4 linked regions of the Caenorhabditis elegans genome follow. The protein of the gene in region 1 interacts with the protein of each later gene in a biochemical or structural test. Each region holds a gene or a part of one and is shown on either strand. Other genes may lie near its edges. The genes, in order: gei-17, polh-1, max-1 and bub-1.

Region 1 (9,070 bases):
ATTAATTTGGCAATTATTTCTCAAAACTCGCACCCCTAAATATCAACTCCATAGCATCATTCTCTGGTCAACAAGAAAAAAAATGATATCGTTGTCATGACAAAATTTAGTTTTCAGTCTCTCAGTGTATGCGTTTTCAAAATTTATTCTATCTATTTATCAAAATATTTCAGGCCGATTTGATTTTCGTTGCCGGTACAGTAACCAACAAAATGGCACCTGCACTTCGCCGCATATATGATCAAATGCCAGAAGCAAAATGGGTTATTTCAATGGGATCATGTGCAAACGGAGGAGGATATTATCATTACGCATATTCTGTACTTCGTGGATGTGATCGTGTGATTCCAGTGGACATTTATGTACCAGGATGCCCACCAACTGCTGAGGTATGTGTCGAATTTTTATGATCGCTTTTAAGTTTGCCTCATTTTCAAAAATACCTTGAGTTTTGAATCTTTTTTGGAGAGTCTAGAGTTTGTTTAGTGGCTGGCTTGATGTCAGTATTAGATCTCACGTTATCGTATCAGCACACCACAGCTAATTCATTTTCTCTCATTATCCATATTTATTTGGTCCACCTGTTACACAAAAAACGCACTCAAAATCTGACTGCTCAATTAAGGATAATGAGTGTCCAGATCTCGTGCAGGCTCATTTTCCATTAATTGAGTAACAATTTGTTTCAGTTAATGTCTGAAAATATTCCAAGAAAAGCGTGTTGCTATGTTCAAAAATGAATTTTAATAATTCTATGACGTCATAATATGTACCTCACTATAATCTCGACACCCCATCATTATCAAAACTGTTTTTTTCGGGTTTTTCCGAAAAAGATTTTTGAAAAAAATTTCCCAATTTAAGAATGGTGGGCTAAGGACGGCATGATGTAATCGCGCTCCACGACCGATTGTAAATATTTCGAAAATACGTGGGTGCATGTGTACTCAATTATTGATCGAATTGGCGCGAAAGTCTTGTGTTGTCTACGCTCTCTTGCATACCATTGAGTCTTTATTTCTCTATTTCTGCTTAGTTTCTCAAGCATTCACTAATGAATATTTTGCCGTATCTAATGCAACAACAACTTGGTGTTTTGTTTAAATCTTTAGCTCTTCGAAATACTTTATCACATTCTGACTGTATCAGCGAATTTCTAATACATTTTAAATTAGTGAAATTATCTGAATAGCTTTAAAAATATTCCTAGCCTGCAGTCTTTTCTGAAAATATGTTTCGTCTAATAAAGAAAATAATTTTAATATAAAAAATTATTCCAGGCTCTTCTATACGGAGTTCTCCAACTTCAAAAGAAGATCAAGCGTAAGCGAGAAGCTCAACTTTGGTACAGACGCTAAACAGAACACGAGGCGAAAAGAAAGTACGAGAAAGTTGGAGAACTGTGAAAAAATTCGCAGAAAAATGGTCATTTTGTACGAGTAAGCCCCACTTCATTCATTTTTTGTGTTTCTCCACCTTTTCTCCATTTTCTTTTTTCTAGATCTGATATCGATAGTTTCGTTCGTTTTTTTCTGCGGTTTACTTTTTTTTTCGAATAGTGTCTATTTTTACCTCATGTTTTTTTTGGTTGAAAAAAAGTCGATAACATTTTTTTAAAGTTCTATTTTTTTCTCTCATTTTCTTTGGAACGGTTAACAACGCCGACCCTTTGTGGTTCTCTTTTTATTTATTTATTCATATTTTCACAAAGTCTGTGAATTTTTATATAGTGATTTGAAAGGAGATCACGACGCACTTTATAGCGCCGCCAAGTTTTTTTTTTTGGATTTGGTTTTTGGATTGAAAATAATACAAAAAAAGTCTGTGTGGATTGAAAATTGTATTGCGCAAATTCAAAAACACAAATTTTCTGGCGCCTCTTCTGAAAATTGCTGATCCTTTGTCACGGGCACAAACCTATCGTACACATTGATCTCATTGATTTCCTGAATGAGTTAACGTGAGTACGTTGAAATATTTTTTGCAGGATTTTGCAAAACTGATTCATCAGGTGTGCCCGTGTTTTTTGCGCGATTTTGGTCCATTAACTTCCAAAATTGGGAAATCCACACGGAACCGCGCTTTTCGAAACGCTTTTTAGGGAATAGAAAAGATCACATTTTTCTACTTTTTGTTTGTGATATTTTCACTACTGGACCATTCAAATTCGCCTTAATATCCCTTTTCCGAATCTGCAGTTTTATATTTTTCCGTCGTTTCGAGACACAGCGGAGGATCGGAGGTATTGAAATCAATATGTTACCGAATAATCAATGGCAAATACCTATAAACAATGGATTAACACATCAGGAAAATATGGCAGCACACGTGAGTTATTGGAAAATTATTGACATTTATTAAATAGTTTAAAATTCTTGTATTTTACCCAAGGATTTTTCTGTTCCAATCTGTTATTTTTCAAAAAGTAAAACTGATGGATTCCAAATTTTCAGGCAGCCGTCATGAAATTGAGAGTACACGATCTTCAGGTTAGATACCGTTTTTAATCAATCTTTATTGTTCAATACCTCAACGAGAAGGCGATGTGAATCAAGAATTTATGAATTTCAGTCGATTATCTCGCAATTGTCACTTCGAAAGCCACGTCCACAAAAATCGGAGCATCAGAAGGTCGTCGTTGAATCCTTGCGTGATCCTCATCATGCTCGGCAAATTTATCAAATGGTCATTTGTTTTTCTCGTTATTTTATTTATGTTTTTTTTTAAATGATGTTTTACAGCATTAATTTTCTCGAGTTTACAGGCTTCCAATTTCCCGAACGGAAATTATGAGGTAAGTATGAAAAAGTTAAATACTTTCAGTTAAAAAAAAACTATGTCAACTTTGATTAAATAGATGTGTGAGGTACTTTGGGTAACGTTTACCAGTGTTCTACCTCGGAGGAAATTATTCATTCACCTAGTATTGTCTCTTTACTCACACAATAAGTCTCGCATTTATCTCCACTAGCATCCTCATACCCACCATATATGTAGCCCTTTGTTTCTCTAAGTTTCCTCAAATATTTCATCCATTCTGCACTTGCTTCCTCGCAGCTCCGGCAACGGGACTTTCGCCCGTAATAAGGTGTTAAAAACCTCAAAAGCAGTGGATCTTCGAAAATTTCTTAGTTGTACTTTGCCCTGACCTTCTTTCCATGTTTCATACGTGTAGCTTGGCGCGTAGTTTTTCATTACAATTTTTATTTTACTAGATTGATTCTTTTGAATACTGTCACACTTTTTTGAAAATCAAATTCAAATTTTCACTCCTAAAGAGGTATTTGAGTTTTTTAATAATTGTTTCACTTTGAAAAATCGATATGGAAGCGAATTGGCACGATGTCGCTCGTGAGAAACTGGGAATCGTTTTTTTTTTTGTTGTTATTTCACAACAGTTGATTCGAATGCGCGTAACTATTTAAATCAATCGAATTTTTAGTTGGCTTATTATTGAAATTTTACTAAATTTTAAGAAAGTCCTGTTATCAAAACTCCAAAAAAACGGCTAGGTTTATCAATATATATCATTTCTTCGCAAGCACCTCTCCTGATGACATGTGCGCTCTATTGAGAAACAAACGTTCAAAAAATCTCTTCCGCTTTGTTTTTTATTCCCAAATGTATTTTTGCAAATGTTCTAATTGTCTAAAATATTCCACATATTTAAAGTTAGAGCCTAAAAAATTGTTTGTAAATCGTTTCTGTTTTAATAACTAAATTAAAAAATGTCAGATGCAGAAGCGACCTGCAACAACATCCCAAGTTCGGTCTCATCCATATGTGCTGCCATCTCGATCTGGAGCTAGTAATCACTTGGTCAATCATCATTATCAGCAGCAACAACAACAACAACCACAGCCTCACAATCTACTTCATCAACAAATGATGGCGTCACATCATTCACATCTGCAACAGCAGCACCATCCGTCGACGGTGAGATGGCTAACTCCTGAACTGCTCGAAGAGCAACTGAGGGGCTCGATGAGATACGGCGCTCCCGCTGCTGCTGCTGCTACCAACGCGCCGCTCCATTCATCTTTTCCTAATCATGGACGTTCTTCTCAGCAAAGTTTGCAGAAGTCGGAAAAATCAAATAGGGTGAACATTTTCGCCGCATTTTTATTGCCTGAAATTCACGATAAGAATGAACGCAAGAATATCGAGGCGGAAAGCATGTGAAGATATACTTTCGGTTTATGACCGTAACGGAAAATTTACCTGAAAAAATTACACTGGTAGCTTCTTCTGGGCACATATATCATATTGGCCAGTCGCGGTTATTTGAAAATTCCTCAATCGTGATACATTATGCAAACAAATGTCCTACCGTTTATTGAATGCACTTTTTTGAATTGCGTGTAGCATTCAAAAAAAAGAAAGAAAAATTCGAAGCTCCAAGATTTGCACGCTGTTATCACGAAATTTTCTGCATGATTCCGAATGGCGTAAAAACTAGAACAAGTGTGGTTTTAAGATATTACAGTATGGCATTCTTAGGAGCATGTTCATGAAGAAAAGCTTAATATGATAATCCTCTCTAGGCATTTCTTCATATTGCCGTGCTCAATTTTCAAATAGTTTTATTTCCAATTAGTTCGTAGTAGCATGTAAAAGTGTTTTTTTACTACCAAAAAGCAGGCATCATTAGAAATTGCGCGGCATGTGTTATACAGTTCGCTCACACGAGTTCAATGTTATCACCTGAAAATTGCTTTCAGCGTCTCTTTCTTACATTCCCACATGTCTAACCCATGTATTTTTTTTTCAGCCGAAAAAAATGTATGCTGATAATTTTGAACCGCTTCCACTTCCATTCTACGATGTTATTTCTGTTTTGCTGAAGCCTGTCGAGCTGCATTCATCAGACAGTCCAACTTTGAAGCAAACAAAACAGGTTGGTCTCAATTTACTCGCTCTCCAAGCCGGTTACCTATTAATTACTAATTTCAGTTACAATTCCCGTTCTTATTGACTGCTGAGCACATCTCCAAGATTTCGTATCGAGCTGATGTTACACCTCTTCCACGATATGAATTGCAGTTGAGGTACGTTTTATTATCATTGAAATCGGTTTAAATCCTTGTTTTCAGGTTCTTCAATCTTACTGAACCAGTTCAGGGTCCTCAAAAAGACGACTTTCCACTCAATTGCTACGCACGTGTTGATGATTCTGTCGTTCAATTGCCGGTATGAGATTTGAAACGTTCACGAAATATATTTAATTTCAAAATATCAATTATTGTTAGGAGTTACTATTTCTTCAAATTTCAGAATGTAATCCCAACAAATAAGACAAATGCTGAGCCGAAACGACCATCTCGTCCAGTGAATATCACTTCAAACATGAATAGATACAAGAAAGAGCACACAGTTGCAGTCGAATGGTTAGCCGACAAACGTGTATGGGCAGCTGGAGTTTATTTCGTTCATCGTGTTAACTCGGATATTCTCTTTAAACGTCTTAATCAGAATGTATCAAGACATCGATCACTTGAGGTTACCAAGCAAGAAGTGATCAAGAAACTGTCTGGAGGTGAAGATGATATTGCTATGGATCGTCTTAATATCAGTCTTCTTGATCCACTGTGCAAGACAAGAATGACAACGCCTTCTAGATGCCAAGATTGTACCCATTTGCAATGTTTTGATCTCCTCTCATATTTGATGATGAACGAGAAGAAACCAACGTGGCAGTGCCCTGTTTGCTCGAGTAACTGCCCATATGATAGACTTATTGTTGATGAGTAAGTTTTCAATTCACACTGACTAACTTTGATTTTAAAAAAAAGCGAATTATCTCAATTCTATGTTTTCATTATTTTTCTATTAACTCTTAGATACCGTTCCCTCACTTCGAAATTTCCAATTCTTGTGAAGACACTATTATTTTTCCAAACACAATTGTTATCTATAGCGATGGACAACACCCTTAAAATAGCCATGATGAAACGGTGATTAGGAAATTCGGAAACGCGTCGTCTAAAATAGGCATGTATTTGCAAATATAGTCTACGATTATTATCAGTAGTTCGTATTGGTCTCCAACTCAAAATTCAGCTCATGACGTAAGAGAACATGAAACAAATGGCAAAGGTCAATCATCATAATTGAGCAAGAGTTTTAATGTGTAATTGAAAATTATTATTATTCAGAAATTCAAAATCCCTGTAAATAATTCTCAATCAATTAATAATCCAAATAGTGTTCTCACTCTTATGTTTACCATGATCCAGATTCATATTGTGAACAGTGCATCATGGACAAACAACAAATTCGATGGCTAACTTCATGCAGTTTTGTGTGAAGCTGTCTGTTCGCACTATTCGCTCGTTTTCTTAATTGGAAAATACTTTTTAGTCACGGAAATGCCTGAGAAACTGCTTAGACGTTACCCAATTCAACATTTTATTTAAGAAATATTCAAATATCAAAATAAAAAGCAATGTTCTGAGACTATGCAAATATTGTTTCATCTTTCAGTTATTTCCTCGATATGCTTGCAAAGGTGGATAAGAATACGACGGAAGTTGAACTTAAGGAAGATGGCTCGTACGATGTTATCAAGGAAGAAGCTTTTTGCATCTCAGATGATGACGACGATGACGTTGTACCTGCTACTGTTAACGGTACAGCGTCATGCTCTTCGACAAATGGCAATGGACTTGCAAATGAAGCAGCGAAGAAAAAACCAGCTGACGACGACATAATTACCTTGAGTGATGACGATGATGAGGAATTGAACAGAGGTATAATGAACTCTCTGAACGACAGCTTCTCTCCTGGCAGACACACAGGTTTGCTATTCAAATGGCGTGGTGTGAGACAAGCTGAGAATATTGCAGTTTCTAGCAATATCAATTAAAAGTATTCACTTGAAATTCAAATCTTATTTCAGCTTCCGCAGAATTGGCTGCTCAAAAGACACCACCACAGCAGAAAAAGAAGACGAAAGACGATGACATAGAGATTATTACTCTCGATGATACACCACCTCGTCCAGTAGCTGCAAGTGCAAATCTTCCAATGCGTCAGATGTCTCAACAGAATCAAATGCCAGTTGGCTCATCTCCATCTGGAATGGCCTCAACGCAAATGGGAATGAACGAGGGTGCAAGTAAAACTATCCGGGATGCGCTGAACAAAATAGGAGAAGTAAGTTCAGAAAAACACAAATCTTCAAAAGAGCCAATATTGTTAGTTATTTTCCATAGTTTTAAGAGGATTTGTTCTTAATTTGACTGAAATCAGTATTCTAGTTATAACTTATCCGTTTTTAACCAAAACTAATACAAAGATTGAATTATATATTTGATTATATTATTATATGATATTGTTAAACTAACATCTGCTTCTCCCTGTCCACACTCACTAAACTGTCTGTTTGTTGCAGCAGTCAGCAAATTCATCAACACAATCATCTCCGCTTGTTCAACTTCACCATACGACACATCCATTGAATTTTGCTCAATCATCTTATATGAATCCCTCTTCAGGATCTCAAACACCTACATCACAATACGGATATTCGGTATGCCAGCACGTGTTAATAGTCTACCACACGCACTAATACTCTAGTGATATTTTTTCATAACGACAGAACAAAAAAATCCTGTTTTAATCTCTTTTTTTTCTTTGTTCAAGCCCCTATTAATTGGATAAGATACTTAGATGATTGTCCACTGCACTAGAATTCTGTCGAATTGAAAAAAATGCACTAGTTTTACGTCTGGAATTATAAACTTAACAAATATTTTTCAAAATTTTTTAAAAATTGAACTCTCGTTTTCAGCCAATGATAAACCAGGCACCACACTTCCAAATGCAAAACGGGCTCATAGGGCGAAACAATCAAATGGTTCATATGCAGCAGCACCATCTTCAGCAGCAACAACAGCAGCAGCAGTCACCACAAATCATGTCTCCGTCTTTTTATGCTCAACAGCAAATGTCAAACGGTAATTTTTTGTACACCTTACAAAGTTTTTGTATATTATGTTTAAACATCAAAACAATCACTTCACGATCTTCAGTTAATAGCGAGTAAACTTGTTGTGTAATTGCAACCATCCTGCATGCAAATATATATTTATTTCCCTTACTTGGTTTGGCCTCACTTTCAGGTGACACCAATAACATCCAACCACCACGAATTCTTTCCATGGCTGAAATACAAGCAAATGCATCTCGACTTTTGGTAAATGGACACCTGATGATCGATCACTCAGGAGTCACTATGCGCAATCCACGTGGCTCACGGAATTAATGCATGAATTGTATTTTTTGTGCCGTCTAGTTCATTTGATTTATGTGCATCTTTTACCCATATCCACGATTTACAATTTTTAACAGAATCCTGCTTGTGCTTTAGTCTAGTAAGTTATATTTGTCTGCATTATACGGCTGATTCGATGAACTTTAACTAGAATTTTGTGACGGTAATGTTTTTGTTAAATGAAGCTGAGTATCCTGTATGCAATCTTTTAAATACAATTGAAAAACACAATCCACTAATTTTAGATTTTTATTTAAAAATTAGATTTTCAATATTCAAAGTTTCAGGTGGTGCATTTGCATATTATCCTCCACAATACCCGCAGCAGCAGTATCGTCAGAATTGATTGATTTCCAATCATACTGCTTAATCTCATTCTTTTGTTTTTTTTTTGAGTTAATTTGGCTTTAATTTAATGTTCGGAACTTCAACCGACCCAATCAAATATCTCACATTTCTCTCCGTGATTTTTGTTCAATATGTTTTAATTTTCAAATCGAGCCCCCAAATCGTGTTTCTAGTTTTCCATCCATTTCATCCGATGTTTTTCCACAGCCGTGAAAATGCACAAGTGGCCTAGAAATTGTAAGAATCTAGGCCATGCGGCTTTCCTGATACCATATTTTTTTCCATTTAAATGGATGCATTTGTTCTCCAATGAATCGATTTATTTATACATATTTGTTTTAAAGAACAAATAATCAATTATAATAATTAGACCGGGGTGGCGAAATGGGAACATTTTTGAGAGAAAAAACTACCGAATCAGTGAGAAGACTAGGGGGAAAAATACAG
Region 2 (8,521 bases), on another chromosome or scaffold:
GCCAACTTAATCATGGGAAGCCACGTGGCACACCAGCCCACCGGCTTCGTCATTTTACTCGGATTTTTTCGGTGAAAAACCGGGGAAAATGGTGAAAATAGCAGAAAATAAGTAGAAATAGAGACGAAAAGTTGTGTTGTTATTCGATTTCTTTTCTGATTGTTGGCGTGGGGAAATGACAGCCGTGTGTGGTGGTCCTACTCCTGCGGGGGCTCTTCACGTTGTGATGTGTGTGTGTGTGTGGTGCGAGAGTGTGGGCTAATTCGGAGAGACGCAGGCCGGCGAGTAGAGGTGATTTAGTAGGGATCATTGAAAACTACACAAAATTTGGTGCTGGGAACACTTTTGAACAAAAAAATTTGAAAAAATATTTTGGAAAATTAAAAAAAAAATTTTTTTTTTTTTGGAATTTTTTTTTGAAAAAATACTTTCTAAATTTTTTATCGCTTATAATTTTGTTTTCTGTTAATTTCACTCCTTTAAGCTGTTTTCCCCACTCATCTAGCTTGAAAATTAAAACAAATTGAATTTTTTTGGGTTACTGCAGCTTCGGGAGTACGCAAACACCAAATGCCGTAAAAATTGATTTTTTATATTTTTATATTTTCTAGAATTAGCTAAAAATCTGAGAAAATCGAAGAAAGGTTTATTTTGAAAAAAAAAATTTTTTTAAATTAAATTTCGAGAAAATTTCAAAAAATCAATGAAACATTGATTTTTCCTAAAATTCCATTTCAAAAATCTGAATCTACGCTTATTTTTACCCCTGTAACTCTTTTCCCTGGACATCTAGCTCAAATTTTGAGGGCCCAGTGGTACGGTAGCGCCAAAAGTACGCAAAGACCGAATTTCTCACGACAAAATGCAGAATTATCTGAAAAACAGCGAAAACCGTCCATATAGGGGCAGAAATGGCTTCTGAGTTCAAATTTTGCATTAAAAATCCATAAAAACTAGGAGTTAAACTAGAAAATTCGACCTTTCAAGCAAAAACTTTGAGAAACTCGAATTCTTTGATAATTTTCACCCCTAAAAACTACTTTTCTAAACTTCTAGCTCAAAAATTTAAATTCGCGGGGTACGGTAGCTCCAGAAGTACGCAAACACCGAGTGCCTCTCGACGAAATGCAGAAATATCTGAAAAATTGCGAAAATCGTCTATATAGGGGTAAATATAGCTTCTGAGTTCAAATTTTGCATTAAAAATCCATAAAAACTGGAAGTTAAACTAGAAAATGCGACTTTTTAAGCAAAAGTTTTTAAAATGTCAATTTTTGTAATTTTCCTCAATTTCTAAGTATCAAATTCGATTTCTCCACTGATGTTTAGCCCTAAAAACTACTTTTCTGAGTTTCTAGCTCGAAATTTGAATTTCCCGGGGTACGGTAGCTCCAAAAGTACGCAAACACCGAGCACCTCACGACAAAATGCAGAAATGTCTGAAAAATCCCACAAATTGACTTTCCGGGGGGTAATAATAGGCTCTGAGTTCAAATTTTGCATTGAAAATGCGTGAAAACGTTGATAAGAATCAAGATTTTTGAGAATAATTTGTGGAAATCTACGGGAAAAAAAAAACAAATTTTCAGTGAAAAATTCATATTTTTTAGCTAGAAAAATGCGTGTCAAAATTGTACAGAAGTAATTGTTAGGGTTTCTTCTTTTTGAAAAACGATTCCAGCGATTTCGGCTTCTTCGGTTTTTGAGCATTGTCCGTGTGAGCTCCGGCTCTTTTCCGTGAGCCACCAGTCTTCGATTTCAGCGCTCGAGCTTCTTCCAACGCTATTCGATGTTGGTAATGCTGAAAAATTACAAGTTTTTTATAGGAAAACTCGAAAATCAGGCATTTTCACTAGTTTTTCACTGCTATATTCGAATTCAGAGCACCATTTTACCCCTAATTTGCATATTTTCACAAAATTTCAGAAAACTGTGCAATTTGTCGTCGGATGCTCGGTGTTTGCGTACTTTTGGCGCTACAGTACCCCGGGAAATTCAAATTTCAAGCTAGAAAGCCAGGAAAACGGGTTTCAGAAGTGAAAAATGGCGGAGAATTCGAATTTGATAGTTAGAAATTGAGAAAAATTCCGAAAATATGGTAAAAATTGTAGTTTCTAAAATTATTGCTCAAAAAGTTGGTTTTTAAGCATTTTCATCACGAAAATCGAACTCAGAAGCCATTTTTACTCCTATTTTACATATTTTCGCAAAATTTCAGAAAACTGTGCATTTTGTCGTAAGGCCTCCGGTGTTTGCGTACTTTTGGGACTACAGTACCCCGGGAAATTCGAATTTCGAGCTAGAAAGCCAGGAGAACCTGATTTTGGGGTAAAATTGTGTGGGGATTGCGAAAATCGAACTGAAAATTCGATATTTTCATTGAAAACTCTATTTTTTAATTAAAAATCCCAAGTTTTCAGAGTAAAATTCATTTTTTGACAAATTTTTGGCGAAATTTGAGTTTAAAACATTTTTTAACAGTAAAATCTCAAAAAATCGATTTTTTTTGCTCAAAATTCACATAAAAATGGCCCGATTTTCGCATTTTTCCGTCTAAAATTCGGATTTTTTCCGGATTTTTCCGAGTTTTCAGGCACCTTTTTAATGTCAGGCGGTAGGTGCCTCCAGGCCATTTTTGAAAATTTCTTTCCATCGACAAAAATCCAATTATCATCAGTTTTTGGCTGTACAACGTCATCATCCGAATCTGAGCCTAAAACAATGAAATCTCCGTCTGTTCCAGTGGATTTTGGTGTTGGATTCGGCTTTTTCAGCTGAAAAAAATTCGATTTTTTCACTAAAAACTCGGATTTTTGATCATTTTCCGGTACTTTTTCCGGCGGTTCAACAAAAATCACATCTTCTCGACCATCATTTTCATCGTAAATCGCCGCTTTTCGACGCGATTTTCGCGTTTTTTTCTCGTAAAGCCATTCGTGAATCGATCGATTTTGTGCAGGAATTCCGGGTTGAAAACGTGTCGCTGATAGTGAAATGTTGAGAATTGGCGGTGTCCAGGGACCGGAGTCTGACAATGAAAATTTTGAAAAAATCTAGAAAACCTCTCAATTTTATAAATTTTCATTAGGAAATTCGGATTCCGGAGTACTTATTACCCCTATCGCGATGCTTTTCTCAAGTTTTTTGAAAATTGTGCATTTTTTCGTAAGCTCCGCGGTGTTTGCGTACTTTTGGAGCTACCGTACCCTGCGAATTTAAAATTTGGAGCTAGAAACCCAGAAGAATAGTTTTTAGGGTTGAAAATCAGTGGAGAATTCGAATTTGATACTTAGAAATTGAGGAAATTTAAGAAATTTGGAAAAAAAAATGGGTTTTCAAAATTTTTTCTAAAAAATTGGCATTTTCTTGTTAAACTTCAAGTTTTTATAAATTTTTCGAGCAAAATTTGAATTCACAGCCTATTATTACCCCTTGATAGACAATTTTCGCGATTTTTCAGACAATTCTGCATTTTGCCGTGAGAAATTTGGTGTTTGCGTACTTTTGGCGCTACAGTACCCCGGAAAACTCAAATTCCGAGTTTTAGACTTAGAAACTAACGGGAAATTCGATTTTTTCACTGAAAAGCTTCAAAACAGACTGAAAATTGAAAAAAATTAGTGAAAAATCTGAAGTTTTCCGAAAAAATGAAAATTTGGGCATAGCTTACGCATCTCCGAGTGACAAATGTGCTCTATTGTCAAATTGTTGGCAGAAATACGGTATTTATTCACATTTTCAGCCAATTTAGGGTTGAAAATGTGAATAAATACAGTGTTTCTGCCAACAATTTGATAATAGAGCACATTTGTCACAGAAATATCGACTTTTGGTGATTTTTGGAATTTTCCTGGGGAAAATTCAAATTTTTGTCAGCTTTCAGTGAAAAGCCACGGGAAATCGTATTTTTAGGGCAAATACTCAATTATTGTATCAGATTTGCGGTTTTATGCGTTGTTTTTCAGTCGAAATCGTTTAAATTTCAAATATTTAATCCAAAAATCTAAAAACCGGCATTTTCCAACAGGTGGCCTAGAAATCCTAAAAACTAGGCCACAAATTTTTTTTTACTGAAAAAACTGTTAAAAAAGTGTTTTTGCCGCTTTTTTTCTAATTTTTGCGTACTTTTTTCAAATTTCCAGCTATAAAAATTAATTTTTTTTTATTATTACCCTCATTTTTAGTGGCATTTGTCTTATTTAATCCCTTCATAGCTGCCCAAATCTGCTCAAAAAGTGTATCCGGGTGATAACTGGTGATTTTCAGCGTTTTTTGTGGTTTCCCGTCCTCTGTGAGCAGTGAGTACACCAGATTCTCGGCAGTTCGCTTATTTTCCGCTTGATCCGTTGCCAAACGCTTTGCGAGCTCTTTCGTGAGCCCGTCGAGCCATTTTTTCAGCTCCAACACCGATCGAATCGATAATTTTCCGGGGAAGTTCTTGGAGACAGCGATGGAAGAGGATTCCTTGCGTGGCCGAACTGGTTCATCGCAGTGTCCCTCGGCCACGGACCTCAGGTATTCGTGTTGATTCGGAAATGTTTCAATGAGCTGTGAAATGTCCACTTCGAGCAGTTCACCCATTAACTGGAAAAAAAAAATTTTCTAGATTTTTTCAGTGTTTGCGTACTTTCAGAGCTACCGTAACCCGCAGAATTTGTAAAAATTTGAGTTTTCACTGAAAATATCGAATTTTCAGTTCGATTTTTGAAATCCCCACCTCATTTTACCCTAAAATCAAGTTTTTCCAGCTTGCTAGTTCAACATTTGAATTTCGAGGGGTACGGTAGCCCCAAAAGTACGCAAACACCGAGTCTTGCGTATTTGGCACCGAATTTTACGACAGTTAGTCTAAATTTGCTGAAAACCGGGTTACGGGGGTAAAAAGTGACGGGGAACTCGAATTTTCGACTGAAAATCTGTGAAAATCACAAGTTTTTCGGGAAAAATTGAAAATTTGGGCATAGCTTCCGCATCTCCGAGTGACAAATGTGCTCTGTTGTCAAATTGTTGGCAGAAATACGGTATTTATTCACATTTTAAGCCAATTTAAGGCTGAAAATGTGAATAAATGCAGTTTTTATGCCAAAATCTGAGAAACGCACAAGTCACAGGGGAAATATTGATTTTTAGTAGATACAGTAAAATCGCTAGGAATCATTTTTATTCATTTTTCTCAAAAAAGAAAGCTTTTTTTGGTTTTTCTAGCAGAAATTTTTGATTTTCTCAATTTTCCTGCATTTTTTCACGACCATGTTGACTTTTTACCGTCAAAAATCGAATTTTTCACACATTTTCAGCTGAGAAAATCTCAAAATTTCTTTTTTTTTTGCCAGAAAAAATTGATTTTTTTTTGAGTATTTCCAAATTTCTAGGTTCAATGAAAAATATTTAAAAATTGTATAAAAACGCCTAAAATTGCAGATTTCAGACATTTCAGATAATTTTTCGATGAAAATTCTGAAAATAACTTGGAATTTTGAATATTTTCGCTTCCGTACAGTGATATTAAGCATTTCTTGAATGCGATTTCCCATTTTTCCGCCAAATCCTCGAACATCTCCGATTGGCGTAAGCCGGAGAATTTCTCGAACATAGAACCACGGAATTAACGTTTGTTGGCGTGGTTTATGCCGGGCGCACACCAATTTCGCCATCATTTTGTTGTTTCCGACGCCTGAAAATGGAAAATTGCGATTTTTGGGCGAATTTTTCCCCCCAAAAAATGAATTTTTCTGGATTTTCCGGCAAAATCCATACCCGCCGAGCAAAAAAACTGGGTTTCCTCGTGAATTTGTTGCCGAATTTGCTCTACAGTGACCGCGGCAATCAGTAAAAGCAGGTTTTCCGTGCAATTTCTCGCATTTTCAATATATTCCAGCAGCACATCTTCTCGTAGGTGCTCATTTTCTTTCACATCTTCTCCGGTAGCGAGGTGTGTGGTTGGGAGGTAGGTAATAGCAGCCTGAAATGCGAAAATTAGGCAATTTTTAGCGAAAAAATCATGGATTTTGCTTGAAAATTCATTAACAAACGGCAAAAAACCTGTGGACCTAGTGCCGCCCGGCGCGAGCGGTCGCGTCGCGGTTGGCACGTTTTTTAGAGGTAATTTGAAATTCTTGAATTTTATTAATTGAATTTAGCGGAAAATCAGGTTTTTCGCGTTTTTTTTCTTGAAAAAACTGCTAATTCTGCAAAAAGATGCTGAAATAGGGGGGATTTTTCTCATTTTTCAACTTTTCAAGCTAGATTTACCTGCAAAAACTCCTCCAATCCCTCGTTTTCTCTCAATTCTTGCAATTTTTGATTAGTATACGCGGATAAATCAAGAAAAGCCTCATCGACAGACGCTTTTTCGATTATAATTTGCGAGTCGTAATTGTTCAGCACCCGGAAGACTTCTGCGCTAGCGTCGCTGAAAAAATAGCAATTTTTGGGACTTTTTCAATATAAGAATTCCAACCGATATTTCTGAATATCAGCTTTATCTACATATTCTCCAATCGGAACGTGACATATTGATATTTGAGGGCATTTTAACTTCGCTTCGGCCACCGTCATCCCTCGTTTCACTCCGAACGGGCGGGCTTCATAGCTTACAGCCAAAATTCTGGAAATTTCGGGCTTTTTTTGGAGAATTTCAGATTAAAATTCAGCTTACCCACCCTCGATACCCTGCCTGGAGTGCTGCACGACGATCACCGGCTGTCCCCAAAGCGATGGATTGTCCCGTTGTTCGACTTGTGCGTAGAAACAGTCCATATCGATGAGGCTGATCACTCTTTTCATGTTTTATGTGTCTGAAAATATTCAAAAACTATGAAAAGTTGAAAAAAAAAAGAAAAAAAGCCGGAAATTGCGAAAAAACGAATTTTTAAAACAAAAAAAAACCAAAATCAATGTTTGAAACCCCGCCTAAAGTGCACTGCAATCGCGCTCCACTAAGACGATTTGGCTGCTTGGCTGAGTATTCAACGTTAATGCATAGGCGGTGGAAAGGCGTAGGCCAACGAAGTTTTTCACATACTTTTCTCGAATTTCCGTGATTTTTAGGTGATTTTCTCCATTTTTTGTGGTTTTAAGCATTTTCCAGTAGTTTTGATGCGAAATACCTACAAATATTCATCGAAATGTGTCTGTTTTGCTTCGCGTTCTCATAATTTTTGTAAAAATGAATTCCCGAATTTTCAGGTAAAAACAAGCAGACATGGTTCGCATGAACGTCCTCGCCGATGCGCTCAACGCCATCAACAACGCCGAGAAGCGCGGAAAGCGTCAGGTTCTCATCCGTCCAGCCTCCAAGGTAAATTCGCGTCGTTCTTCGAGAATTCTCAATGCATTTTTGTTAATAGATGATGATGCTGGCAGCCTCGGTCGCAAAAAATGACCAAGGCTCTCCGTGAATTTAGAATTTAGTGAAAGAAACTCGGTTTTATTTCCAAACATAACTTTCGGTTCTAATTAAACGGAGACACCCTTGGTTAGATTCTCTCAATCTGGAGATCTTCCTGGGATATGAATGTTGAAGGTAACCAGCTTAACATCTACTTTCCGTATTTCTAGTTTTCCACCTGTCCCTTCCCATCGCAACAATAATTTTCCAGGTCATCGTCCGCTTCTTGACCGTCATGATGAAGCACGGATACATCGGAGAGTTCGAGATCGTCGACGACCACCGCGCCGGAAAGATCGTCGTCAACCTCACCGGACGTCTCAACAAGGCCTCCGTCATCTCCCCACGTCTCAACATCCGTCTAAACGATTTGGAGAAGTACACCAACACCCTCCTCCCATCCCGTCAGTTCGGATATCTCATCCTTACCACCTCCGCCGGAATCATGGATCACGAGGAGGCCAGAAGAAAGCATTTGGGAGGAAAGATTCTCGGATTCTTCTTCTAAATCCAAACCCTAATTTTTTGTTTGTTATTATTACAAATAAATTGTTGTTACAACTACAACCGAGTCGTGTGTTCAGTTCGGCATCCAACTTTTCAGGGTTTCTAAATATCTTTTAAAACCTTTGGGTTTCGTTTTCGGGGACCACGAATTTTTCAGAATGCTCCGCTCAGCAGTTTCAGCTCTCTATAGAGCATCGAGAAGCTTCTCCGAGACAGTTCCCAGACTTTCAGCCACTCCACTGGGGAAGCAAGAGCCCCAGTTGTCCCTGTCATACACCTGCAAAGTGTGCAACTCCCGGGAGGTTTGAGCCAAGAAAGCTAGAAAACTGGATTTGAAATTCCTAATAATTTCAAGGGCCCAAAAACATTTGCCAAGTCATCATACGAGAAGGGAGTTGTCATTGTCACGTGCTCCGGCTGTCACAACCATCACATCATCGCTGACAATATCGGATGGTTCGAGGACTTTAAAGTGAGCATTTTTGCTCTTGAAAACGGAGCATCGTTGACGCGTGTTGTTTAGCGTAAATCCAATTTTTTCCAGGGAAAAAACATCGAGGATCATCTGAAAACGCGAGGAGAAGCCGTGAAACGTCGTGACACGATAAAGAACGAGAATGGAAT
Region 3 (5,907 bases), on another chromosome or scaffold:
TTTTGGAAGTCGTTCAAAGGAAGTTTCCGCGAATTGTAAAATTTCGTTTTTTCATCTAGAACATCGTGAAGGTTCAAATCTACGGAAATTGCAAAAAGAATCTCACTGTGACTGGAAACCACAAAAAACCATTTTAAAATTGTTTTAAATTTAATTTTTAAGCCCATTGGTACTTCATCTTTTAAACTATCAACTTCGGGGTTATTTCAGATTTTTTAAAATGATTCTACAACATCACAACAGCGTTCTTGATTTTATTTCTGATCAAATGTACAAATATGAATTAAAACTTTTTCATAAAGCTTCTACCCTATTTTTTTGAAAAAAATGTTCAAGTGAAATAGGTCTAAAAGCCAACTGCAAATGGAACACGTTTGAAGAATGAGAAAGAACACCCTTCTAAATCTGAAGTCGTTTTTCGACGTTGTGACGAATGAAACGGCAACAAAAATTTGATTAATGAGGCGGAGACAAATCCGAATTTCTACGGAATTTTCCCAATTTTTTTTCTTTTTTCCTTATTCCCACCTACTGTACAGTTTCAAAAATAAAATGGAAAAGTGGTGAAAATGAAAGTGAACCCGAGTGAAAAAAAGCACCTGTTGTAGACACTTTCTCCCATTTTGTGAAAAGGTGTTCAGCAGATGTGTGCCAGGCTCTCAGACTCCACTACTCACAGTTTTATGGGCAAGTTGGGTACTTGGAGCTGCGCAACTCGAAGATTCTATTAAATTGGAGTAAAATACGAAAGTAAAGAAAATTGAGGAAAAAGTGATGAAAATTTTAAAGAAATCTGAGATGATTTCACAGTGAAAACGAACACACTTTTGATTGAAGTGGTTGAGAAGGAGTATATACGACGTCTTCTAGAGTTTCCAAAACGAGCTGCACTACCGAGGTTTACTGACATGCCATAGGACAGCGTAAAACGGGACGGAAAAGCCCAAAAAAGAGAGATTTGTGGTGGCGTATACTTGTGAATTTGGGAAGCCTGGCACACAAATGCATGCATTTCGAATAGTAGTTCTAAATTTTTTTTTGCTGATCCGTTTGGTTCCAAATGATAAATTGCGGAAATTTGTCAATTTTTAAATTTAAAGGTTTTGGAAACAACTTTAAAAAACGATTTTTCAAACAAAAAAACGAAGCGAGAGAGAAAAGGAAAAACATTGAAAAAAAATATTTGAACACGTGTAAAAGCTCTCAAGATTCTTTAATACTTCAATAGAAAACCAAGTTCAAAGTTTTGAAACAAATGGAACTGATTTCTGCTGAAGGTCATAAAATTTGAAACTGTTCAAAAAAAATTCCGACTATTCCTTTAATTTTTAAATCGTTAAGTTTATGAAGAAGACAGCTATTCTCAATTTCAATAAATAATAGGTGTGGATATTGAACTGCTTCAGCACAGATGTTATCATATTTGGAAATAAGTCTGGTTAAAAGTGTTTTTAATACCTATAAAACCAAATCGTTTACTCTGAAATGACGTGAAACAACAGAAAAATGAACTTCTCATCCTGTATTCAAACACACACAAAATGCCTCACCCACCATAGAAAAATAAATTTCCAAATTGAAAATTCAGAATTACAAACGAGTGAGAATGAAGAGAAACAACTATACGAGTGAGTTAAAGATGTACTAGTACTGGACTAAACCAGTTTCTTCCATCATTTACAACTGTTTAGCTTCTCATTTAATAACCGTAATCATCTCCGAGTAGCAGCAAAAGCGGATCCAAGGAATTAGTGGATGAATAGAAAATTGTGTAGTACGAAATATTCATTAGTGATCATGGAACAAGGTGTCAATGAAGATTAATGTGGAATCAGAGTGTAGGTTTTTGGAGGACATTTCACAACGAACAATGATACTTTGTGGGTGGTATCAAGGCGCCAAAAATTTGAATGTGAAAAACTAAATTAGCAGGTAAATTCTTGAAACTGAGAAAGCAAAATGGATAGATCCTTTTTAAACAAAATTATCTAAAATAAATATTAAGCAGTTTCTGAAAATAGTAACTATTCTCAAAATTCTGTTCTCTAAAATTGTTCAATATTCTCAGAATATCTACTCCATTTGAAAGCAGAAATTCTTAAAAGTAGAAAGACTCAACGCAGTTAACAAATGGGCTTCTTCCCGTTCGAAAACTCAAACTCAAGGGAATTCAGTCAGAGGTTCAGAGTGCTCTATTCTTCGTTCTAAACTCAAAAATCAACCAGCCGTCACTCATTCATTATGCAAATTTCAAAGCTTTGTCTTCTTCCAAACTCTCGGAGTCAACTACCCAGAAAAGTAAGAATTTGTAGAAGAAAAAAGGTATTCAGACTGGGTTGGACCACCGGATGAAGAAGAACAAGAAGAAAACGATGTCGGAAGGGAGACGTCAAGAAATGTTGTCAGGAAGGTAACCTGATATCTTGGGGGAACCAACATGTTGGCATCTACAATGTTTGTGCTCATGCTCATAATTTTTGGACTCAAAATGTGTTATGTCGTTAGTGCAGATTTGGTGGGAGCAAGTATTGTTTGAAGAAAAAAACAGATTGAATGAAAAAGGGAACACATGGTTAGGATGTATACTAGATTTGAAAATAATAAAGATAGTTTTCTAACAAAAGTTTAATTCTATATTTGGCATCTCAGTCGTTTTGAAGTTGTTAGAAAGTTTTAAAGTCTATCGTAAGTTATCAGGTCTGTAAAATCCCATTTTTAGAAAGGTTAGCTACACTTCCCGCGTTTTCTGTTTTTTCTAGGACGCAAAATATGCTGGGCTAATCCGGAAATTCAAAATTTTTCTTAACATTTTTTTAAAAACTAAACTAAAAGCACAACTACCAGGAAAATGTTTCCGAATGTTAAATGAACAGGGCGAACACACGTATATAGATTATCATTTGAATAGGTGTAGAAGAGGAGAGGAGAGAACACAAAATGAGTTGGCATACACACGGAATAACTAATAAGGACTAATATTGTTCATTTAATATGACTACTTGTTGACCACTGCACATCCCTGTTTTTGTACCTTTCCCATTCTAAAAAACAAATGTAACAATGAGAAGTAAGTATTCAATGATATTTAGGTATCAATGTTATATTTTTTAATGATTTTGGAAACTATAAAAATCGAATTGAAAGGAATGCTATACCATATTTCTAAGTCTCAAAAGTTTTAGAGTGGCTGTACTATTCACTAATTTTTTAATGAAATTTTATTATTGTCTGACCTAAACACTAGTAGGCAGTATGTCCTTTTTTGAACTCTAGAAGGCGTGGTTTTCAGAGTTTGAAATCACAATAATTTTGTAATTTATTTCATGTAGAAAATCTGTCGTCAAATTATCAAAAACACGTTTTACCGCAATTTGCAGAGGTGGAGTAACCCTTTAAGTGCTGAAAGAGAGCAAAAGATCATAAATAAACAGAGAGTTATAGGGACGAAAATAAAAAAAACCGTGTTGGGCTCAATTTTTAATTACTTCAAGATCGATTTTTATCAAAAATGAAACGGCAAATATCCAAAAATTTGTTAACAAATATAACACATTTTTGAAACGATTTTCTAAGGATAGAAACAAGTCCTCATGAGAAGTTTATCTTGAAAAAATAGAGATTGAACTGAACGTTGGTAGTCACTCGATTTTCCTTTTTTTTTCAACTTTATAATCAGATTAACATACATTTTCCCTACCAAACAATCACTCACCTCTTTCATTCTCTTTGTAACCCATAATCGTATTCTCGATGATTTTGCGAGTAGCTCCTCATCCTCTGGTGAGCGTAATGGGGATGCGCTTGAGTCGCTCATTCCTTCAAAAAATCATAATTTTAACAAAAAAAAGAGTGAGACGAAATAAACAAAATAGAGTTTTTAGTGGGGGAGAGACCGAGAAAAGAGCAGCGAAATAATTGTTCAAGAGAGATGAAGAAGCCGATTTAGAAAAAAATAACGGAAATAGAAGAAAAAAGAGTTGTCAAAAATGATGACTCTCTTATGTCAGTTCGAATTTCTTTGTCATTTTTTCTTGTAAAAAGTATAAGAAAAAATAAAGTAAAATGAAAAGAAAGAATGAGTTGTGAATAGTTGTGGTAATAAAATACGATGTCCATCTCTTGACCAATGTCCTCCGCCCCCACCACCAATTTTCAAAAGCTATGTATTAGCATCAAATTGCGCGATTTTGGGAGGTCTGGTGGTGCAATCCGGGGGCCTCTCTTTCCCTCTCATGCTCCCCATTTTCTTCAATTCGTCTCTTTCTACAACACAAACCACTTGCATAATTTGTGTCTTCTTGTATGTATCTCCTCAACAAATCTATTGCACAATGTTCCATCACTCGAGATTTCAGATGAATGACGATAAGAAAGTTTTGAGGAAGATTGTTTATACTTGAGATTTTGGGAATATTTAAAAAGTTGGATAGTTCTCAATTTGGAAAAATTCAAAGCGTTTTTTTTCAAAAAAAATAATCTACCTATTCTTTATATTTTCAATTTACGATACCCACAAGGAGACCTACGCCTACGTGCCTACACTTTCCTTGGTCATACCTATGGTTTGAATTTTTGGAAAGTTTTACCCATATTATTTTTATGAAATTCTGAACAAAAAACCACATATAACGCTTTTTTATACCCAGACCAATTGGCAATTAAACAAAGATCCCACTTTTTTCGAAAATATGGATGGCTGGCTCATCCTTACAATATTTACGGCAATACAAATTGAATGCACATTAAATTGAACGAGAATAAAAACATTTAAAAATATCTAAATTTGGAATAATTCAAATTCAAATTTATTTTCCCCTAACTTTGATATCTCTTTCTGAATTTAAGACTTTAAGAGATTCAAATAACAGCTTGAGCAGACTATGCTTGAAGTCTCAAATACACTTTTGGTTACTTATTTTATGATTTTTCAAACTTAAAAAAACATAGAAATCCATGTTATATTTTCTATTACAAATACAGTAGGACGTAAATTGTTCATCTAGGTAAGAAATCTATACCAAAAAAGAAAACAGAGGAATCCTCTCGTCAACAAAAAGACCCATTGGACCTCACGGCCTTTCGATGTTGGTTTTCTTCCTCTTGCAGCCGTAATCAGATAACGAACAAATTTCGCAACATGATTCAAAAACACATCTTTTTTTGGTGTACCCACGCCCCTCTTCTATCACAAAGTAAAATGAGAAACGGATGGAGAGCTCATGAGCTCTTTGCTACCAGTTTGACGAGTCTTCCAAAGACGGGACGTCAGACGGAAGGACGAAGACGGGCGGTGGGAAGAGGACGATGAGCGCAAGAAATTAATTTTGTGAAGCCGGGAGAGGCAATGGAAGAAGACGAAGTAAAGGGAAAAAAGATGGAGAAAAGGCATTGAAGAGGGCAGTTCTGGAGCTTTGAGGCAACGGAAACAAGAAGAAGATCATTAACGAGAAGAAGGTTGGAAGAGACCACCGGAAGGTTTTAGAACGAACCAAAGAAAAATGACCGATAGGAGATGGATAAGTGTCATTTGATGAGAAATGGAGTTGTATTAACAATATTCCTAGTCTTCGAGTACTATTTATAGGAAATTAGTCTAATTTTAGGTTTTATAGTTTTTTCAGTTTTTTCAGTTTTTTTTCATTAAAAAAATAGGAGTGGGTACACAAAAAAGTCCGTTTTCTTGTCTAGAAAAATTTGCTCAAGTTTGAAATTCTCTAGATATATATTGTAGGAAGAAATTGACTACAAAATGATGACTATATTTTGTCGACACTGTGTGCAGGAATAACAGTTTTATCATAAACATCAGCTGCCGAAACGTTGATTTGCATATTCTTCGATGCACCGGTTACTTCGAGGCACCGGTTTTTAAACTATGCTAGAATTCTGTGATCGATTTGAAATTGA
Region 4 (6,593 bases), 1.9 Mb from region 1:
TCCAAGTGCCATTTGCTGGCAAACGATGTATTGCAACCGTCACAATGATATACTTTGTATTCTTGACTTAGATGCAAATAGATATGTGTTCGCTTCGAAAACTCTTTTCCACAGAGACCACACATCATCATATCTTTCAGTGAATGTTCTTGATGACGATGATCAAGAAGACAGCGAATGGTTGAAAATTTGGATCCACATATTGAGCACTGAAATTGAAGAATAAAATCATGTTCAGAATGTTATGCTTTAGATTTTGAGAAATTTGATGGTTGGTACACACTTTTAAGTTGTAATAAATAAATCTATAATAGTGATATGGTATAATAGTGATAATAGTGAAGGTTTTTGTTCATTTACAGAGAATGAGATATAGAACTAAAATGAACTAACCGAGCAATTAACAATTGGATCTCCTCCTCTTTTTGTCCAATATTTGGCAGAGGGTTTCGATGTCAAATTACTACGCGACTGCCGGTTTCCTCGTGGGGTCCGTCTTTCTTCGATACTTTCATCGGTTTCATCGCTACTGTCTGACTGATTTAATAGTGTATCAGCACCTTCACAACCATAGTTGTTCAACACGTTTATGTATTGGACGCTGTTGTCCTGAAAATGTTCATTAGAAAATGAATTACAGTTGGTTTTTACACTATGGAAGCGATTATTCCACGAAAATGAGCCATCAGCTTGGTTGTACTGAACTCCGGACGGATTTTCGAATATTGAAAGATATTGCTGGAATTCGAAAATTATACAGCATTTTTACCAAATTTATATTTCAACCTCATCTTGCATTTCATGCTTTGGATCTCTGATTTCAACTTTATTCAATTCCTCTGTGACTTGTGAAGATGTGGATGGCACGTTTTTAGTCTACAACTCTAACTTTATGTTGAGGTTTCAATGAAGATTAAATACCAAAGATGGTCGAAGTGAAGCTTCGTCGAAAATTGCTTTGATATGACGAAGCAATTTTTCATCAGGCATGTCATGATAAAAACTGCCAATTTCATTTTCGACATTTGGTAAAAGCTGAAACTTTTTGCAAAATAAGTTGATTAAACACTAGCGCTCACCACAGTCTGATCTGATTCTTCCATTTTTACAAGAGGATGGCTGGAAAATATTTTAATTGTAATTTTTTCTAAATTCTTTTTTAAATATCACATTTTATGCAAAACGCGAAGAAAACAGTTGATGAAACAAAACGAATGTGCAACTATTTAGATCTAACTGTGATCTATTGCAATACTTCCCTTTAAAGGCGCATCAAATTTCTACCGTGATGGGTCTCGCCGCGCCCAATCTCGAATATCACGTTCAAATTTGGAAAGCTTTCAAAAACTGAAAACTTCGTTTAATTCAATTTGTTTTACCAGAAATAAATTAGATGCACAATTATTAAAGCTCCGAACGAGTTTATTCACATGATATCAATACAAAAGACAATAAAAGAGAGCAATAAGAGCACGAAATACAAATTCATTGTGTTGGGCTACTTTTGGTTGGCGGCAAGATCACAGGCCTCATTGAACTTGGAAACCGCCTGTCGCCATCCCGATGCTTCAAACTTTTCATTCCAGATTTCCGAGAAAGACTTGATCAGGATATTCCAGTCCGGAAGTGAATCACACGAAGGGATGTTGAGGAATCTGTTAATGACATCGTAGCAAGCATCGCGAAGAATGTTGCGCCTCTTGATGTCGACATTTAACGAATAGTCTCCAACGCTAGCTCCAGTCAACTGTGCATACTTTCCTGCAACAACGACAGCCATTGTTGCGGCGAATCCGAAGTAATCGGCTTGGTAAGTCCAAGAACGACCGTCAACCATTTCCGGGCAATCAAACGCTTCTGTTCCTGCTCTTCCCTTGAAACGCTGGTTCTTCAGTGGCATCATGTCAATGGCACGTCCCCAGTCGATAATCTTGATGACAAAGCTGTCGTTACTCATCAGAGCATCTTTGCCCCATTTATCATCGATCCTGAAAAAAGATAACGTCTAAAATTAACAAATGTTTTCCCATACTTTCTGGTGATCATAAAATTATCCGGTTTGATATCTCCATGAATAATTTTAGAGGCATGGACTTCCTTCACAACTCGGGCCATTTGGGTAATCAAGAAGCAGGTTATGTGCCAATTCGGATCCTTCATGTTATTCGCATATTCAAGCAGCGTTCCATATTCGTGGTACTGATTAACAAGAAGCGAAGCAGTTGAATAAACATAAGCATCCATCACTTCCATAATGCAACATTTGGCCATCAGCTCCAAACCTCGATCTTTCAGGCGATTCCGCATTTGGTCGCAAATGTACACTTCCCACGAACATGATGGCACCTCGTACTTCACAGCTACTGTCCTTTGATCATCGGTTACAGCCCGGTATACTTTAGCGTATCCACCTTGACCAATAAGAGTTTGAATGTGGAGCTTTTCTCCGCTAACCTCGCAGTCTCTCAGAGCTTGAATCTTCGGTGCTCGTTCTTGGAACTCGTGCATATTCTGGGGAGGACGCACAAGACACATCAATTTTTTTCGAAGAGTTTCGTCCCATGGATTGATGTCTCCTTGCTTGATAATTTCACTGCGCCGACGAATCTTGCAACCAGTGATTTCAGATTCGTTGTTTTCAGTGAGATTTGGAATTTCATCAGCACCAATTGAAAGACGTCTTCCTAGATTAGCTGTCAAACAATCGATAGATGAATCTTTAGGATCTGATCGTTCAGGCTTTGATGACTCTGTGACTGAGGGCTGAACGGCTTGATTTGCTGCTAGTGACTTTCGACGTGTCTGAAAAAGTTTGAATAGTATGTCGAAAATTTGTCTGGCACTTACTAATTTACTGAAAGTACTGCTGGTTGGAGCAACAAATACTGGAGCTTCCTGTTCGTGAGTGCTTTCCTCCTCTTTATTTCCGAAATATTCATCAATGTTGACCAAATGAACTCCTTGTGCGGGGGTCGATGTGACGAAATTACCACGAGACGGTTTGAAAAAGCCAAACTCGATTTCATCGTCATAAACTAAAAATTAAAACATAAGTTGTTATATTTTTCGATAAACCCACTATCATTAAACATTGTAGCTGGTGAGGTTTGCGTCACTGGAGAAACTAGGACAATTTCGGGTTGTACTTCAGATTCCTCAACTTTCTGAGATTCTTCCGGTTCGGCTGCCTCATCGTAAACAACATTCAACCCATTCGACACTTTTTTCGGACGCTCCTGTGTAATGGTCATTGTCGGATCAGGATCACAGAGCACGGAAAAGTCAGTAACTATCTGCGTAGTAGCTAAAGATCTTTCTGGAACGAAGACAGAATCATCGCCAAGGACCATTGTCTTTTCGCTAGCAAGATGTACAGTGTCGGAAAACATAGCATGTGCCTCCAAACACTTATTTTCCGCCATCAAATCCAATCCAGCTCCACTCTTTGATGTTCTTGCAGAAGCAGTTGAATAGTTGGAAGATATGCTTGTGGAACGGTCTGGAGGGTTACCATCTTTTCTGCCGGCAGTCATAATCTTGAGTCTTTCATCATCATCTGCATCATCGGAATCACTAACATCTTTCTCCGAAGCAGACTTTGTATCCGACGAAAGTGTCACTGTCGCTGGAGGATTCTCAATTTTGCTCCGAAGTGCAGGTCTGTGAGCATCCTTCGTTGCAACCAGCGGCGAATAAATCCGGCTTCGCTTTTCCTCCTCATCATCAACCGTTTTCTCACTGACTGGTGAAAGATGACGTCTTCTAGGATTTAGATTGGCGTTGAATCGGTTTTCAACTTCTTCGCGGGCTTGTCTGTCGGTATCAATGACTTGATGTTTCACGAAAACGACACCAGAGTCTTTTCGTTTTCGGTAATCGTCATCAACATCTTCTCCGAAAGTGTCCTTCCATTTGGCAAAACGAAACTCCTCAATCGATATTCCATGATAGTTTGGCCTGTCGATACACGCCTGGCGAAGATCCGTTTTGGCTGTAAGTTTCCAATGAGAATAATAACTTTTTTTCAAACTTACTTTTTGGTCCAAATGCAGCTTTTCCCGAGTTATTTATAGGCACATTGTGTTGCAAAAAGCAAACCGAAGAGCGACGCTTTTTCTTAGAACCCGCATTGAATCTGAAAAGATCCATAGTCTCATCCGGTCGTGTGAACATATCTCCAGATTCTCCATTGAAGTATTCATCGACCAAATCGCGAAATCCCGATTCAATTGCTGTCATTTCTATTCTTTCGGAAAGACGATCTCGTGCCAACTTCAGGACATCTTTGAATTCCTCCAGCATTTGATCTTTTCCACATTCTTCTGCCCATTGCAGATAGAACTTCAGCGAACCAGTGAAATGATCCTTTTTGAAAAGTTGTTCATAAATGCCTCTTCCCTTCAGGTTTGTACTAGATCGACCCATAACTTTGTAGAGACGGAGCATCGCTTCGTTTTCACGAATTTGATCAAACTTTTGCTCCCGCAAAATTCTCCTAACGCAGTCGTATAATTCCGCCTTCATTTCCTCCGCGGTCATCATTTGAGACAACGTTTCGATTTGCCTGAAAGTGGTGACTATTTAAAATACAAGATATACGGAAACTTACGTTGCGAACGTCTCAAGACCACATGTCGACGGATTGGTGTCGAGTGGAGCGAATGCCACTCTAATGTGGGACATAACTTTCTGAAATAATCTGAATAACAAGTTTTCAAAGTAGAAAGGACGCGAATAAAAAAATCATCGGTTCACGAAAATTACGGAGTTCATTGGAGACGTGAAATCCCTCTTTCTCCTCTAAATTTTAGGACCTTCGAAAACAAGAAATGGATATAAACGCGCGCGTCTTTTTTGAAAAGCGAGTCTTCGCGGGCCTGCTCGATAGAGCGCGTTTTTCGCTGTAGTTCAGTGACGTCACTCTCATGGCTACGTTCTTTTGAATCTGGAGAATTGCGCACTACTGAAAATTGGGCGGTGCTTTATTGCTATAACTGAAAATTGATTTTAAAGCTATTTGAAATTATAAAAAAACAATTTTTTAAAAAGTGTTTGTATGCAATTGGAATTTAATTTGAAATGTTACACTTTTAATAACACAAAAAGCCCGCCCATTTTTTCGTAGTCCGTTCGTCACTAGTTTCGAAATCGACGGATCTGCATTGAGTCTCTCATTTCTTTTTTATTATTTTTCAAACATTTTCTCCATTTTCCTGTTTTGTTTCTTTTTTTTTTAAAGCAAAATGTTTCGAAATAATTGAAGTTAGCGTGGCCCAGTAGTCTAATTTGTCACCAGATAGTTAAGAGTGTTTTTGTTCGTCCGAAAAGTTAGTTCCCGAACATCAAAATGCTAAAATTAGTCATTTTGTGCTTCGCGTTGTTCTACAATACAGTCAGTTCGACAAGATTTCTGTTTGGCGTCGAAGTTAAGTGTGATTTTGATGAAGTGTTCCAATTAACAGTGTCGCATTGGGAAGACGATGGCAATACTTTTTGGGATCGCGATGAAGACATCACTGGACGTATGACTATGTTTGCTCGAAAGAAAATATTTTTCTATCAGGACGGCCATCATGGATTTGAATTTGGAAAGCTCGAGCCTTATGGGTGGTTTCTGCACAATTGCACGAAAAATGGAAATTTTCGCGAGTATAGGCACGGGTTGAGTAGCACCAGTGGATCCAATGGGTTGGAGTATATTGAGTACACTGTGAATTTGACGAACGCCTGAGAAATATCAAATCAAATCGAACTAACTTTCAATTTCAATAAACATTCTCTCTAATTACGTTTTAAACCAGTCTTAATTTCAGATGTCTGAATTTCTGAAAATTGTCAGAGCTAACAAAAAATCGGACAGAAAACTCGATAAGACCTACTTGTGGGAATCCTATTTACATCAGTTCGAGAAAGGAAAAACTTCTTTCATTCCAGTTGAAGCATTCAATCGTAACCTTACAGTTAATTTTAACGAATGCGTGAAGGAAGGAGTTATCGTGAGTTCATATTGTTCGTAAATCGGTTTTAAAATACAATTTTTGTAGTTCGAAACAGTGGTCCATGATTATGACAAGAACTGCGATTCGATTCAAGTCAGATGGTTTGCACGAATTGAAAAAGTTTGCGGATACAGAGTTCTGGCTCAGTTTATCGGAGCTGACACGAAATTTTGGCTCAATATTTTATCGGACGATATGTTTGGTTTGGCAAAGTAAGTTGGACGCTCAGCTCTTTCTACTATTCTAAATAAATAATGGTTCTGTTACATAAAATTCTAGAGAACAATCGTATTAAAACTTCGAAACATTTGTATAATAGTAAAATTTGAACATTTCAGCGCCGCAATGAGTGATCCCAATATGGATAAAATTGTATATGCTCCGCCGCTTGCAATCAACGAAGAATACCAAAATGATATGGTAAATTATGTAAATGTAAGTTTGTTTTTTTCCGAATTTATGTTAATATCATCTCACAACTTCAGAATTGCATTGATGGCGAAATCGTCGGCCAAACTTCGCTGTCTCCAAAATTCGATGAAGGGAAGGCTCTCCTAAGCAAGCATCGTTTCAAAGTTGGACAACGTCTTGAAC

The links.
Region 2: of the proteins of gei-17 (region 1) and polh-1, one has a biochemical effect on the other in vitro, tested with the Caenorhabditis elegans proteins (one study listed by BioGRID).
Region 3: of the proteins of gei-17 (region 1) and max-1, one has a biochemical effect on the other in vitro, tested with the Caenorhabditis elegans proteins (one study listed by BioGRID).
Region 4: of the proteins of gei-17 (region 1) and bub-1, one has a biochemical effect on the other in vitro, tested with the Caenorhabditis elegans proteins (one study listed by BioGRID).

Annotation. Positions count from the first base shown.
Region 1 is NC_003279.8:9,100,726-9,109,795, reverse strand, and holds gei-17 (E3 SUMO-protein ligase gei-17), read left to right. Parts: upstream 1-2,213; 5' UTR 2,214-2,256; coding exon 2,257-2,328; intron 2,329-2,453; coding exon 2,454-2,489; intron 2,490-2,571; coding exon 2,572-2,685; intron 2,686-2,764; coding exon 2,765-2,794; exon of another isoform or gene 2,795-2,808; intron 2,809-3,098; exon of another isoform or gene 3,099-3,196; intron 3,197-3,476; exon of another isoform or gene 3,477-3,689; intron 3,690-3,735; coding exon 3,736-4,101; intron 4,102-4,771; coding exon 4,772-4,897; intron 4,898-4,953; coding exon 4,954-5,048; intron 5,049-5,093; coding exon 5,094-5,190; intron 5,191-5,274; coding exon 5,275-5,747; intron 5,748-6,483; coding exon 6,484-6,797; intron 6,798-6,898; coding exon 6,899-7,155; intron 7,156-7,393; coding exon 7,394-7,531; intron 7,532-7,792; coding exon 7,793-7,958; intron 7,959-8,123; coding exon of another isoform or gene 8,124-8,266; exon of another isoform or gene 8,267-8,473; intron 8,474-8,562; coding exon 8,563-8,621; 3' UTR 8,622-8,950; downstream 8,951-9,070. Other genes in the region: nduf-7 (putative NADH dehydrogenase [ubiquinone] iron-sulfur protein 7, mitochondrial), read left to right, coding at 174-389, 1,281-1,358. UniProt on the Caenorhabditis elegans protein: Functions as an E3-type smo-1 ligase. Mediates smo-1 conjugation to air-2 in vitro and is required for proper chromosome alignment.
Region 2 is NC_003281.10:1,943,472-1,951,992, forward strand, and holds polh-1 (DNA polymerase eta), read right to left. Parts: upstream 6,799-8,521; 5' UTR 6,787-6,798; coding exon 6,659-6,786; intron 6,608-6,658; coding exon 6,461-6,607; intron 6,413-6,460; coding exon 6,253-6,412; intron 5,963-6,252; coding exon 5,758-5,962; intron 5,675-5,757; coding exon 5,499-5,674; intron 4,585-5,498; coding exon 4,173-4,584; intron 3,029-4,172; coding exon 2,832-3,028; intron 2,775-2,831; coding exon 2,598-2,774; intron 1,802-2,597; coding exon 1,649-1,801; 3' UTR 1,587-1,648; downstream 1-1,586. Other genes in the region: F53A3.1 (MARVEL domain-containing protein), read right to left, coding at 1-53; rps-15A (Ribosomal Protein, Small subunit), read left to right, coding at 7,205-7,300, 7,602-7,898; F53A3.7 (DNL-type domain-containing protein), read left to right, coding at 8,056-8,199, 8,253-8,369, 8,442-8,521.
Region 3 is NC_003283.11:13,106,522-13,112,428, forward strand, and holds the start of max-1 (PH domain-containing protein), read right to left. Parts: upstream 3,815-5,907; coding exon 3,713-3,814; intron 852-3,712; exon of another isoform or gene 580-851; intron 435-579; exon of another isoform or gene 287-434; intron 1-286.
Region 4 is NC_003279.8:7,250,037-7,256,629, reverse strand, and holds bub-1 (Mitotic checkpoint serine/threonine-protein kinase bub-1), read right to left. Parts: upstream 4,690-6,593; 5' UTR 4,684-4,689; coding exon 4,610-4,683; intron 4,565-4,609; coding exon 4,035-4,564; intron 3,992-4,034; coding exon 3,080-3,991; intron 3,036-3,079; coding exon 2,848-3,035; intron 2,803-2,847; coding exon 2,033-2,802; intron 1,989-2,032; coding exon 1,499-1,988; 3' UTR 1,407-1,498; downstream 1-1,406. Other genes in the region: ztf-15 (C2H2-type domain-containing protein), read right to left, coding at 1-209, 394-609, 652-738, 787-876, 922-1,035, 1,080-1,103; Protein lin-61, read left to right, coding at 5,348-5,710, 5,814-5,996, 6,045-6,211, 6,338-6,434, 6,485-6,593. UniProt on the Caenorhabditis elegans protein: Serine/threonine-protein kinase essential for spindle-assembly checkpoint signaling. Plays a key role in the recruitment of the checkpoint proteins bub-3, mdf-1 and mdf-2 to unattached kinetochores. mdf-1 recruitment is independent of bub-1 kinase activity.